3 linked regions of the Canis lupus familiaris genome follow. The protein of the gene in region 3 purifies or fractionates together with the protein of the main gene of each other region. This does not show direct contact. Links are inferred from orthologs where the notes say so. Each region holds a gene or a part of one and is shown on either strand. Other genes may lie near its edges.

The links. The genes of interacting proteins can lie anywhere in the genome.
Region 1: the proteins of CHUK (region 3) and MYH14 purify together in Homo sapiens (affinity purification with mass spectrometry; 3 studies listed by BioGRID and IntAct, with this or other methods). This does not show direct contact. The link is inferred for Canis lupus familiaris from reciprocal best matches to the Homo sapiens genes CHUK and MYH14.
Region 2: the proteins of CHUK (region 3) and RIPK1 purify together in Homo sapiens (affinity purification with western blotting; 3 studies listed by BioGRID, with this or other methods). This does not show direct contact. The link is inferred for Canis lupus familiaris from reciprocal best matches to the Homo sapiens genes CHUK and RIPK1.

The regions. Positions count from the first base shown.
Region 1 is NC_049222.1:107,069,771-107,073,270, reverse strand, and holds part of MYH14 (myosin-14), read left to right. Parts: intron 1-2,148; coding exon 2,149-2,253; intron 2,254-2,347; coding exon 2,348-2,500; intron 2,501-3,360; coding exon 3,361-3,500. UniProt on the Homo sapiens protein: Cellular myosin that appears to play a role in cytokinesis, cell shape, and specialized functions such as secretion and capping.
Region 2 is NC_049256.1:4,671,563-4,675,062, forward strand, and holds part of RIPK1 (receptor-interacting serine/threonine-protein kinase 1), read left to right. Parts: intron 1-925; coding exon 926-1,075; intron 1,076-3,500. UniProt on the Homo sapiens protein: Serine-threonine kinase which is a key regulator of TNF-mediated apoptosis, necroptosis and inflammatory pathways.
Region 3 is NC_049249.1:13,165,349-13,168,848, forward strand, and holds part of CHUK (inhibitor of nuclear factor kappa-B kinase subunit alpha), read right to left. Parts: coding exon 3,487-3,500; intron 2,714-3,486; coding exon 2,590-2,713; intron 2,186-2,589; coding exon 2,034-2,185; intron 142-2,033; coding exon 80-141; intron 1-79.

The sequences.
Region 1 (3,500 bases), on a different chromosome or scaffold from region 3:
GAGTATGCGACTCTTAATCTTGGAGTCATGAGTTTGAGCCCCACGTTATGTGTGAAGATTACCTAAAAAGAAAGAAATAATACATAAATAAATAAATAAATAAATACAGGGACACCTGGTGACTCAGTGGTTAAGTGTCTGCCTTCCACCCAGGGCGTGATCCTGGAGACCCCGGATTGAGTCCCGTATCATGCTCCCTGCATTGAGCCTGCTTCTCCCTCTGCCTTTGCCTGTGTCTCTGCCTCTTTCTCTGTGTCTTTCATGAATAAATAAGTAAAATATTTAAAAATAATAATAATAAAGTCCTTTAAAATAAATAAATAAATAAATAAATAAATAAATAAATAAATAAATGATTACAAAGAGAGAAAAGTACTTATACAGTGGAGAACTCTGGCTGCTGAATGAAATACTCAAATTTAACATGGCTAATAATGAGATAAACTGGTCACATATGCCTCCTAATCTGATAGAGACTGGGGGGTGGGAGGAAGGACACCTGGTTATCTTCTTGTCTCATTTCCAAGATAAATTTTCTTGCCAGCTGGAATTTGAACCCAACCTTGTTCCCTAAGTGAACCCCAGAAAGGGAGAGCAGGTGGTCCAGGGCAAGACACAACACCAGAGACTCTCATCCCACAAACATTTCCTGAGCACCTGCTATGTGCCAGGCCCTTTCCTGGGACAGCAGGGAACAAAACAGATGAGGACCTACCCTCCTGGAGGTGACAGTCTGGGGGAAGGAGGTGGTGAGCTGTTACCCGATTCCCACTGGGAAGAAATGTGAGGCCAGGATCATTGTGAAAACTTTTGGTGGGGGAGGGAAACGGCTTTGTTGAAATAGAACTCATATGCTGGGGGCCCCTGGGTGGCTCAGTCAGTGAAGCATATATATGCCTTGGGCGCAGGTCATGATTTTGGGGTTCTAGGATTGAGTCCCACATTGAACTCCCTGCTCCATGAGGAGTCTGCTTTTCCTTCCGCCCCTCCCCCTCCCCTGCTCATGCATTATCTCTCTCAAATAAATAAATAAAATATATTTTTAAAGATTTTATTTATTCATGAGAGACACAGAGAGAGAGGCAGAGACATAGACAGAGGGAGAAGCAGACTCCCCACAGGGAGCCTGATGTGGGATTCGATCCCTGGACCCCAGGATCATGCCTTGAACCAAAGGCAGACATTCAACCACTGAGCCACCTAGGCATCCCAATAAAATATTTTTTTTTAAAGGAACTCCTATACGGATGCCTGCGTGGCTCAGAAGTTGAGCGTCTGCCTTTGACTCAGGGCGTGATCCTGGAGTCCCAGGATGGAGTCCCATGTCAGGCTCCCTGCATGGAGCCTACTTCTCCCTCTCCCTGTGTCTCTGCCTCTCTCTCTTTCTCTCTCTCTGTGTCTCTCATGAATAAATAAATAAAATCTTAAAAAAAAAACCTCATATACTGTATAGTTCACCTATCTAGAGTGTACAATTCATTGGTTTCTGGTGCATTCCTAGAGTTGTACAGCCATCACCTTAATCTAATTTTAGAACATTTTCATCACCCCCTGGAAGAAATATTGTATTCTTCAGCTACCATTCCCCAGCCTTCCCCCCATTACACCCCCCCTCCCCCCAAAACCACAAATTTCCTTCCTATCTCTTTAGATTCCCTATCCTGGGCATTTCACATCAGTGGACTCATATGATATCTGTCCTTTTGGGTCTGGCTACTTGCACCCAGCAATCATGTTTTCAAGGTTCTCCCGTGCTGTAGCACGTGTCAGATTCATTCATTCCTTTGTCTTGTCAAATAATATTCCATCATTTGGCTATGCCACATTTTATTCATCTGCACATCAGCTGATGGACAGGTAGGCTATTCGCACCTTTCAGCTGTGGTGAATGGTGCTCCCTGGACATTCCCATACAAGATTTTGCATAGACATAGGTCTTTAGTTCTCTTGGGTCCACGCCTAGGAGGGGAATTGCTGGGCCATAAGGAGACTCTGTGTTTCAGTGTTTGAGGAACCACTGGGCTGTTTTCTACAGCAGCTGCCCTACTTGCCATCCCCACCAGCCTGGTGTGGTAGGGATTGGAGGGGATGGAGTGGCTGGGGGCAGCCAGGTGGAAGCCACCATTGGAAGGTGCCCCTTCCCTGCAGGCTGAACTGGAGAATGTATCCGGGGCCCTGAGTGAGGCCGAGTCCAGAGCCATCCGGCTCAGCAAGGAGCTGAGCAGCTCAGAGGCCCAGCTACATGACGCTCAGGTGAGGCCCTCCCCACTCAACCCCCAGCACCGCCCCCACCATGGCTCTCCACCCTCTGCCTTCACCTTATCTCCATTTCCTCCACCATCTGTAGGAGATGCTTCAGGAGGAGAGTAGGGCAAAGCTGGCCTTGGGGTCCAAGGCGCGAGCCCTGGAGGCTGAAGTGGCGGGGCTGCGGGAACAGCTGGAGGAGGAGGCAGCCGCCAGGGAGCGGGCAGGCCGCGAGCTACAGACCGCCCAGGCCCAGGTGAGCAGTCCTGGAGGGAGACCTGGTGGGGCCTCCAGTCAGTCCCAACCCACTCCTCTGGATTCCTCAGCTCAGGGATGGCCCCATTGCCCACCCAGTCCTAGGCCGGACCCCCGGGAGACCCCCATTCTTGTCTCTGACTCTCCCTCAGCCACAGCCTGTCCTTCACCACCCCACTCTGAGCTCCCAAGCCCTTTGTCTTCTCATCCCCATTCCAATCACCTTGGGCTGGAACTCTCTCTGCCCATGGGTCCCCACACACACCCGAATGGGAGCTCCTTGAAAGTGGAACCCATCAAAGTTAGGTCTTGGTCTTCAACACAGGCCAACCTAGAGCCTGGCATATAGGAGGCCTGGAGAAATGTCTGATGAATGAATGAGTGATGACTGCATGCCTCTAAATATCCTTCTTCAACTGGCAGCTTCCTATGCATACTTCAAGATCCATCTCAAATGCCCCCTCTTCCAGGAAGTCTATCTTGAATGTTCTGAACAGATTCTAAATTCCTCCTGTGGGTTCCCATGGCTGCCATGCTGCTTCTCCTTTAGCCTCCACCACCCTGGCCTTGATGCTCAGTCTCCCCCATCAGAATGGAGTCCTCCCCAGGGTGGAGTCCGGGTCTGATTCATCTTCTGGGTCCTGATGGGAGTAATTTTCATCTCCTGAAGAAGCTGAGGTTCATAGAACTCACAACCTCAAGCCTACTCCAAAGCAGAAGAACCCAGTACAACGAGTCCCTTTTCTCCTCAGGCCTCAGGCTCCTTGTCTGGGAAGTAGGGCACTACCAACTCACACCTTGGTCTGGTCACAGCCATGACAGCCACCCACCCTTTCTCCTCATCCCATGCCCCACCCCCAGCTCTCAGAGTGGCGGCGGCGCCAGGAGGAGGAGGCAGGAGCCCTGGAAGCAGGAGAGGAGGCCCGGCGCCGGGCAGCCCGTGAGGCTGAGGCCCTAAGCCTGCGCCTGGCAGAAAAAACTGAGGCGGTGGAGCGGCTGGA
Region 2 (3,500 bases), on a different chromosome or scaffold from region 3:
GTCCATTCAAAACCTATGAATTCAAGGTATATATATGATTCAAGATCCATCTTGAATCCCCCCACTTCTGTCCCCACCAGACTCTCTAGTTCAGACCATCCGTATTTCTACTGAGGGCTGCTCATTTCCCCATTCACCCTGCAGCCAGGCTGGTCATCCTAATAGACAAGTATGACCATCTGATTCATCTATTTATAATCTTTCCAAGGCTCCCTGGGCCTCCAGTATAGAGTTCAAATTCTTCAGCATGGAATACAAGGCCCTCTCTGGCTTTTCCATCTTTCTCTAGCCTTATTCCTTACCTCTCTTTCTTTAGTCAATATGCCCAGTTATTGAGAACTACGCATAATTTCTAGGATACATCACGATTTTGGAGACTTCCAAGCTATTCATATCCTGCCCCCCTATCCTGGAATCCTGTTCTCTGAGTCCTCCTTCCTGATTTATCGATAAATCCTTCTAGTTTTTTTTTTTGATGCAGCAAAGCCTTCTCTGACCTTCTCATCATGGTTGTGTTAGCAGAAACCTTTGTACTTAATTTTTGAATAACCATTACCAATCTGTATTTTAAGTCCCTCTCAATAAACTTAGTTCTTTACGGGTAAAAGCTGTTCCATGTTCGCCTTTGTATTAAAGTCTGGAGTCTGCCATTGTTTTTATTTGTATATTCTATTCTACCAGGAGGCCACTTTGTTGTGAATTCTTTCTTTCTTCTGCAGAGGTTAAAATGTCGTTTGATCATCTGGGCAGTAGAATATGTCAGTGCCTTGTCAGAGGGTCCTTCTGCCCCTAACAGATGAGGCGCCCGTCCTAAAAGCATACCCTAGGTAGAGGAGATCAGCAGGATTGTCCAAGTTCTGCTGCCTTCCTGCCTAAGACACGCAGGACCTGAGGAAAAAATCAACGTAAATTCTTTGCCTTATAGATGCTATCTGTGAACAGCAGCTGATACTGTGCATTAAATCTGGGAACAGGCCAGATGTGGAGGACATCATTGAGTACTGCCCAGAGGAGATTATCAGCATCATGAAGCAATGCTGGGAGGCAAAACCCGAAATTCGGCCAACATTTGCTGGTAAGAGCATCTTCTGTGACTGTGTACATTGCCAGTGAGGTGACTTTCCTGGTAAGATGTTGTCAGGAAGTTGAAGTGTTCAGAAACCTGAGTTCTACTTGTGATTTCAAATAGACTTTCTAGATTTCACACATTTTGTTCGATGAAAAGATACCATCCCTCTTAAAAATGTGAAGTTATATGAGGCCCTCTTCTTTCTTTTTTCTTTCTTTCTTTTTTTTTTTTTTTTTCTGCATAATTAACTTTTTAAAAATTGTGTTAAGGGCAGCCCTGGTGGCTCAGCGGTTTAGCGCTACCTTCAGTCCAAGGCATGATCCTGGAGACCCAGGATCAAGTCCCACGTCTGGCTCCCTGCATAGAGCCTGCTTCTCTGCCTGTATCTCTGCCTCTCTTTCTCTCTTTGTGTGTGTCTCATGAATAAATAAAAAAAATCTTTAAAAATAAATAAATAAAAATTGTGTTAAAATATGCATAATGCATCAGTTACCATTTTAACCTTATTTAAGTGTACAGTTCAGCGGCGTTGAGTACGTTCACAGTGTTGTGCATCCAGCACCACCAGCCATCTCTAAAACCTCTTCATCTTCCCAAACTGAAACTTCGTATCCATTAAAACGCACCAACTCCCCATCCCCCTTCCCCCAGCCCTGGCAGCCACCCTTCTGACTTTTCATCCCTATGAATTTATTCTATTATTTCTATCATTACATCAATAGGCACGATTCTAGGCACCTCGTGGAGTCATACAGTTTTTGTCTTTTCGTGCCTGGCTTGTTTCACTCAGGATAATGTCTAGGGTTGCTCTGTGCTGTGGTGTGTGTCAGAAGTTCCTTCCTTTTTTTTTTTTTTTTGTAAGATTTTATTCATTTATTCATGACAGAGAGAGAGGCAGAAACACAGGCAGAGGGAGAGAGAAGGGGTGTGTGTGTGTGTGTGTGTGTGTGTATGTATACACACACGCCGCATTTTCTTTATTCATTCATCTGTTGATGGATACTTTGGTAGCTTCCACTGGTCCTTTTTTATTAGCATCTTTTATTTCTTCTCCTTCCCCTTGGGATGCAGACTTCTTTGGAAATGTATATTGTCATTTAGATTAGGCCTGTAGGGCAGCCCGGGTGGCTCAGCCGTTTAGCGCAGCCTTCGGCCCAGGGTGTGATCCTGGAGACCCGGGATCAAGTCCCACGTCGGGCTCCCTGCATGGAGCCTGCTTCTCCCTCTGCTTGTGTCTGTGCCTCTCTCTCTCTCTCTCTCTCTCTGTCTCTCATGAATAAATAAATAAAATCTTTAAAAAAATTAGGCCTTTAATAGAGGGCGAGGAAAGGGGACATGAATGTTTGTCACATCCTTGCATGTCTTCCCATTCCACTAGGTTACCTAGGACCTTGCTAAGATTCTAGAGGCAGAGGAAAGAAAATCAGGTAAGCAAGAAATAAATAGTAGGAAGTCACTTAGGAGCCTATTTCTGCCATGAGAAAACAGAATAAAGCCCCACCCACCACTAGAACCAAGGATTAGAAGGGTACTTTGATTTACTTGCTTGTTTTCCTATTTTCCTAGTCAGCCTGAATCCTCTCCTGACCTGGTCTCTTCTTTTCTTTTATGCCTTTTTCACTTTTTTAAAATTAAAGTTCCTATTTTGAGATAATTGTAGATGTACCTGTGGTTGTAAGAAAAACAGGGGCACCTGGCTGGCTCAGTCAATAGAGTATGCAACTCTTGATCTCGGGGGTTGTAAGTTCGAGCCCCAGGCTGGATGTACAGGTTACTAAAAAATCTTTCTAAAAAAAATAGGGAAAAGAAAAGAAATAACACAGAAATATCCCATATACCTTTTACCTAGTTTACCCCAGTGATAGCATCTGGCCAAACTACAGTATGGTTTTACAACTAGGATGTTGACCTTGATACAGTCAGATGCAGGTCATCTCCATCACCAGAAGGGTGCCTTATGTTGCCTTCTTGTACCCACACCCACTTTCCTCCCCAACGCCACCCTCCTCCTTCACCTCTGTTGATCTCTAATCTGTTCTCCGTTTCTGTCATTTTTTGTCACTTCACAAATACTACATAAGTAGAATCATAGGGACCCCTGGGTGGCTCAGCAGTTGAACATCTGCCTTTGGCTCAGGGCATGATCCCGGAGTCCTGGGAACGAGTCCCACATCAGGCTCCCCACATGGAGCCTGCTTCTCCCTCTGCCTGTGTCTCTGCCTCTCTCTCTCTGTGTCTCTCATGAATAAATAAATAAAATCTTAAAAAAAAATAGAATCATAAAATACTTTTTGGGAATGCTTTGGGTTTGGCTTTTTGCCATTCAGCATGATTCATCCAGGCTATTGTGTATACCAACGATTTGTTCTTTTTATTGCTGAGTAGTATTCCATGGTGTGGATGTACCACAGTTTGTTTATTCTTTCCTCAA
Region 3 (3,500 bases):
CTATATATTGAAACCAAAGACAACTTCTATGAGAGACCTCAGGAATTAATAAGCATATAGAGTGAGCTAGTGATTTTACCTCGGCATAGTGGATAGCCTTTTCTTCCATTTCCTTCCATGCTTTTAACATTTTTTCTGAGGCTAAAAAAAAAGTCTTAATTGGTTATCTCAGAAATAGCTATAGCCTTAATTACTGACCTATCCACTTCCTTGCCATATCATCATCAAAAATGGTGTTATAGATTGAACTGTCCCCCCAAAAAGCTTTGTTGAAGTCCTAATTCAGTACCTCAGAATGTGACCTTATTTGGAAATAGGGTCACTGCCAGTTGCAGTTAGCTAATTAAGATGAGATCATCCTGGAGTAGGGTGGATTAATCCAGTATGACTAGTTTTCTTATGAGAAACCCAAACACATGAAGAGAGAGCTCTATTTTGACGACAGAGGTATAGATTAAAGTGCTACAGCTGTAAGCCAAGGAGCTAAAGACTGTTGGCAAACCACGAGAACCTAGGAAGAAGCTAGGAAGTATTCTTCCCCACAGCTTTCAGGGGGTTCATGGACCCTGCCAACACCTTGATTTGGATTTTCAGCCTTTGGAACTGTGACACAGTTCTATGGTTTTATTTATTTATTTGTTTATTTATTTATTTATTTATTTATTTAAATTTCTGTGGCTTTAAGCCACCTAGTTTATAGTAACTTGCTACAGCACCCCTAAGAAACCAATATAAATAGTTTTCTCTTAAAAAATGAAAAAAAAAAAAAAAAAGGAAAAGTAATACATGAACATGATTTTTTAAAAATCAAATACTATAAAAGGATATAAAAAGAAAAGACTCTCTCTTTGTCCCCTCCACTCTAAGGATCTTACTGTTAATCACTTGTTACATAGACACATACCCTTTTCCCTCATAAGTGAGACTATCTCTATATACTTTTCTCTCTGTTTTTTTTTAATACATCACTGCCATTAAAGACCCAAGTGATCCTTTAGTATGAGTACACAGGTCTGTGTCATTCCTTTTTAACAGCTGATTAGTCAAAGATAATTTGGTGAAATAATTACAGTGTTCTGCCATTCATTAGAATGCTTATTATACAAAAATAGAAATAAAACATCAATCATAGAACCAGTCCTAATGGGTAAACTTACCCAATTGGATACTGCTGATCATTTATTCTGTTACACATACACTTTGCTTAAGACAAGTTATACGAATAGGATTTGTTTCCCAAAAAATAATTTGTTTTATGACAGAAAACAGAAATATTGGTGGTGACCCCTTCAGCTTATTATTTGAATTTTAAATCTGCATCTTACATTTCCTTAATACATCTGAAAGGAGAGAGCTTAGAGTCAAATATTGAAAACTGGAGGCTGTGTACCATACTAAAAAAGGGGGGGGGGGGGACTCCACAGTAGGTGGTTTGGAAGAAAAAACTCTGGAATTATTTGTATTATTATTTACAGTAAGATAAGTAGTTTAAGACTTCCCTGGTTAAGGAGACATCCCAATACAGACTTTGTATCTATTTTTTAAAAGATTGATTTACTTATTTGAGAGAGAGTGAGAGACACTGTGTACAGAGGGGAGGTATGAGAGAGAGAGGGAGAGAGTCTTAAGCAGACTCTATGCTGAGCACAGAGCCCCATGTGGGGCTTGATCTCAGGACCCTGAGATTATGACCTGAGCTGAAACCACGAGTCAAACAGAAACTGTGCTACCCAGGCGCCTCTATTTCAAAAATGAGACTTGAAAATCAAAAGTTCTTAAATTGCTTTTGAATTTTTCTGAAGCTAAACCATCCTAGTCCAATTATAGTTCAATTGTGGGGAAGTAAAGTTGCTAATATAAAGGTTAAAAGCAGCTACTATTCAGTACAAACACTGTTTATGAGGTCTTGAGGCAACCTATCTCTTGCTCTAATGTTAATATAAATGAAACAATGGGCTGAGGCAAGAAGGCAAAACAGAAGATGGCTTCAAGAGATTCAACACTTCTTTCAAACATGTTACCCAAACACTCACATATCCCATAAGTCATCTGCTCACTGTATCTTTCCAAGTCAAGCTGAATGCTTTTGTGGAAAAACTCCAATTTAGCTTTCAGTTGCTGAGATGCTGAGATCAAAGTGTTCTTCATTTTTGTCAGGTTAGCGTTATATCTAAGAAGACTTAACCTAAACCATAGCAAAAAAAAAAAAAAAAAAAATTAGTATTTCAGAAACAGTGAACAAAAATTTAATAGCTTAAACTGCCATAAACCCAAAGCCTAAGCTTCTATTATCAATCTGTGAGAAATAGTTTAGACTAGAATCTAGTCTCTGAAGACTCCCTACCTGTGATATTCTAAGATAAAACAATCTTCTTATACTAGGACTGCTCAGGAACTACTCTCAAGCTGTTGCAATTGGATGGTTTCAGACCATTAGTAAGAATTCTTTAAGTCTGGTGAGAATATTATATTTCAGATTAGTCCAATATTTCAGTATTGCGTGGAATACTGATTAGTGAAAACAGCAAGATTAATTCTTGAACATTAATGCACATGACATTGCACCTGTAAACAACAGAATCCACTTACATTGCTGCTCTTTGTCCCTGAAAGAGCCTGCTATAGTCTTCTTTCAGCCCAGACACATAGTGCACTGCTTCAGCCCATACTTTACGCAGCTGTATAATTGGAAGCTGAATTTTGCTGTCCCGTACTATATGTAAAAAGATGGGGAAAAGAGGTGGGAAGTTACTTTTTATTTATTTACTTATTCATTTATTTATTTTAAAGATTTTATTTATTTATTCATGAGAGACACAGAAGAGACAGGCAGAGACATAGGCAGAGGGAGAAGCAGGTTCCATGCAGGAAGCCCGATGTTGGACTCGACCCCGGGACTCCAGAATCATGCCCTAAGTCAAAGGCAAATAGAACCTTAACCGCTGAGCCACCCAGGTGTCTCAATTTTTCTGTAAATTTAAAGCTGTTGTTTAAAAAAAACTAACAAAAAGGAAAGATTACATGATTTCAGCCCTTTGCCCAGTTTTGTTCTTGATTTTACAATACTATGCTTTAATTTTAGTTTTGGGTATACAGAAACTAATCACTTCTTCCAAAGAAAAGAGTAATTCTCACAGGATAAATGAAAACATTTGAACGTTAAGCAGTATTCATATAAAATGAAGTATCTGAACACGCTTACATAAAGCAACTAGAAAGCAGGCTTAATTAATAGTGGAGATTCATTCTTCTGTGAGAGCCTTATCCTGCAGAAAGTAAGTCTTCTTCCAAATGAGGGATCTAGAGATGACTTGAAATCTACTATTTCACCTTCCAATCTGTATAAATTCATTTCTCATCATAATTAAAAACCAGAAGTATGAGATACAGAACAGAAACACCAAAAGACCATTTCTACTAACCATATTAAGTCAAAATTGTATTATTTCAGTTTTAAACCTCAGTCAGTAAATGAGCTATACTTACCAATATAATTTACA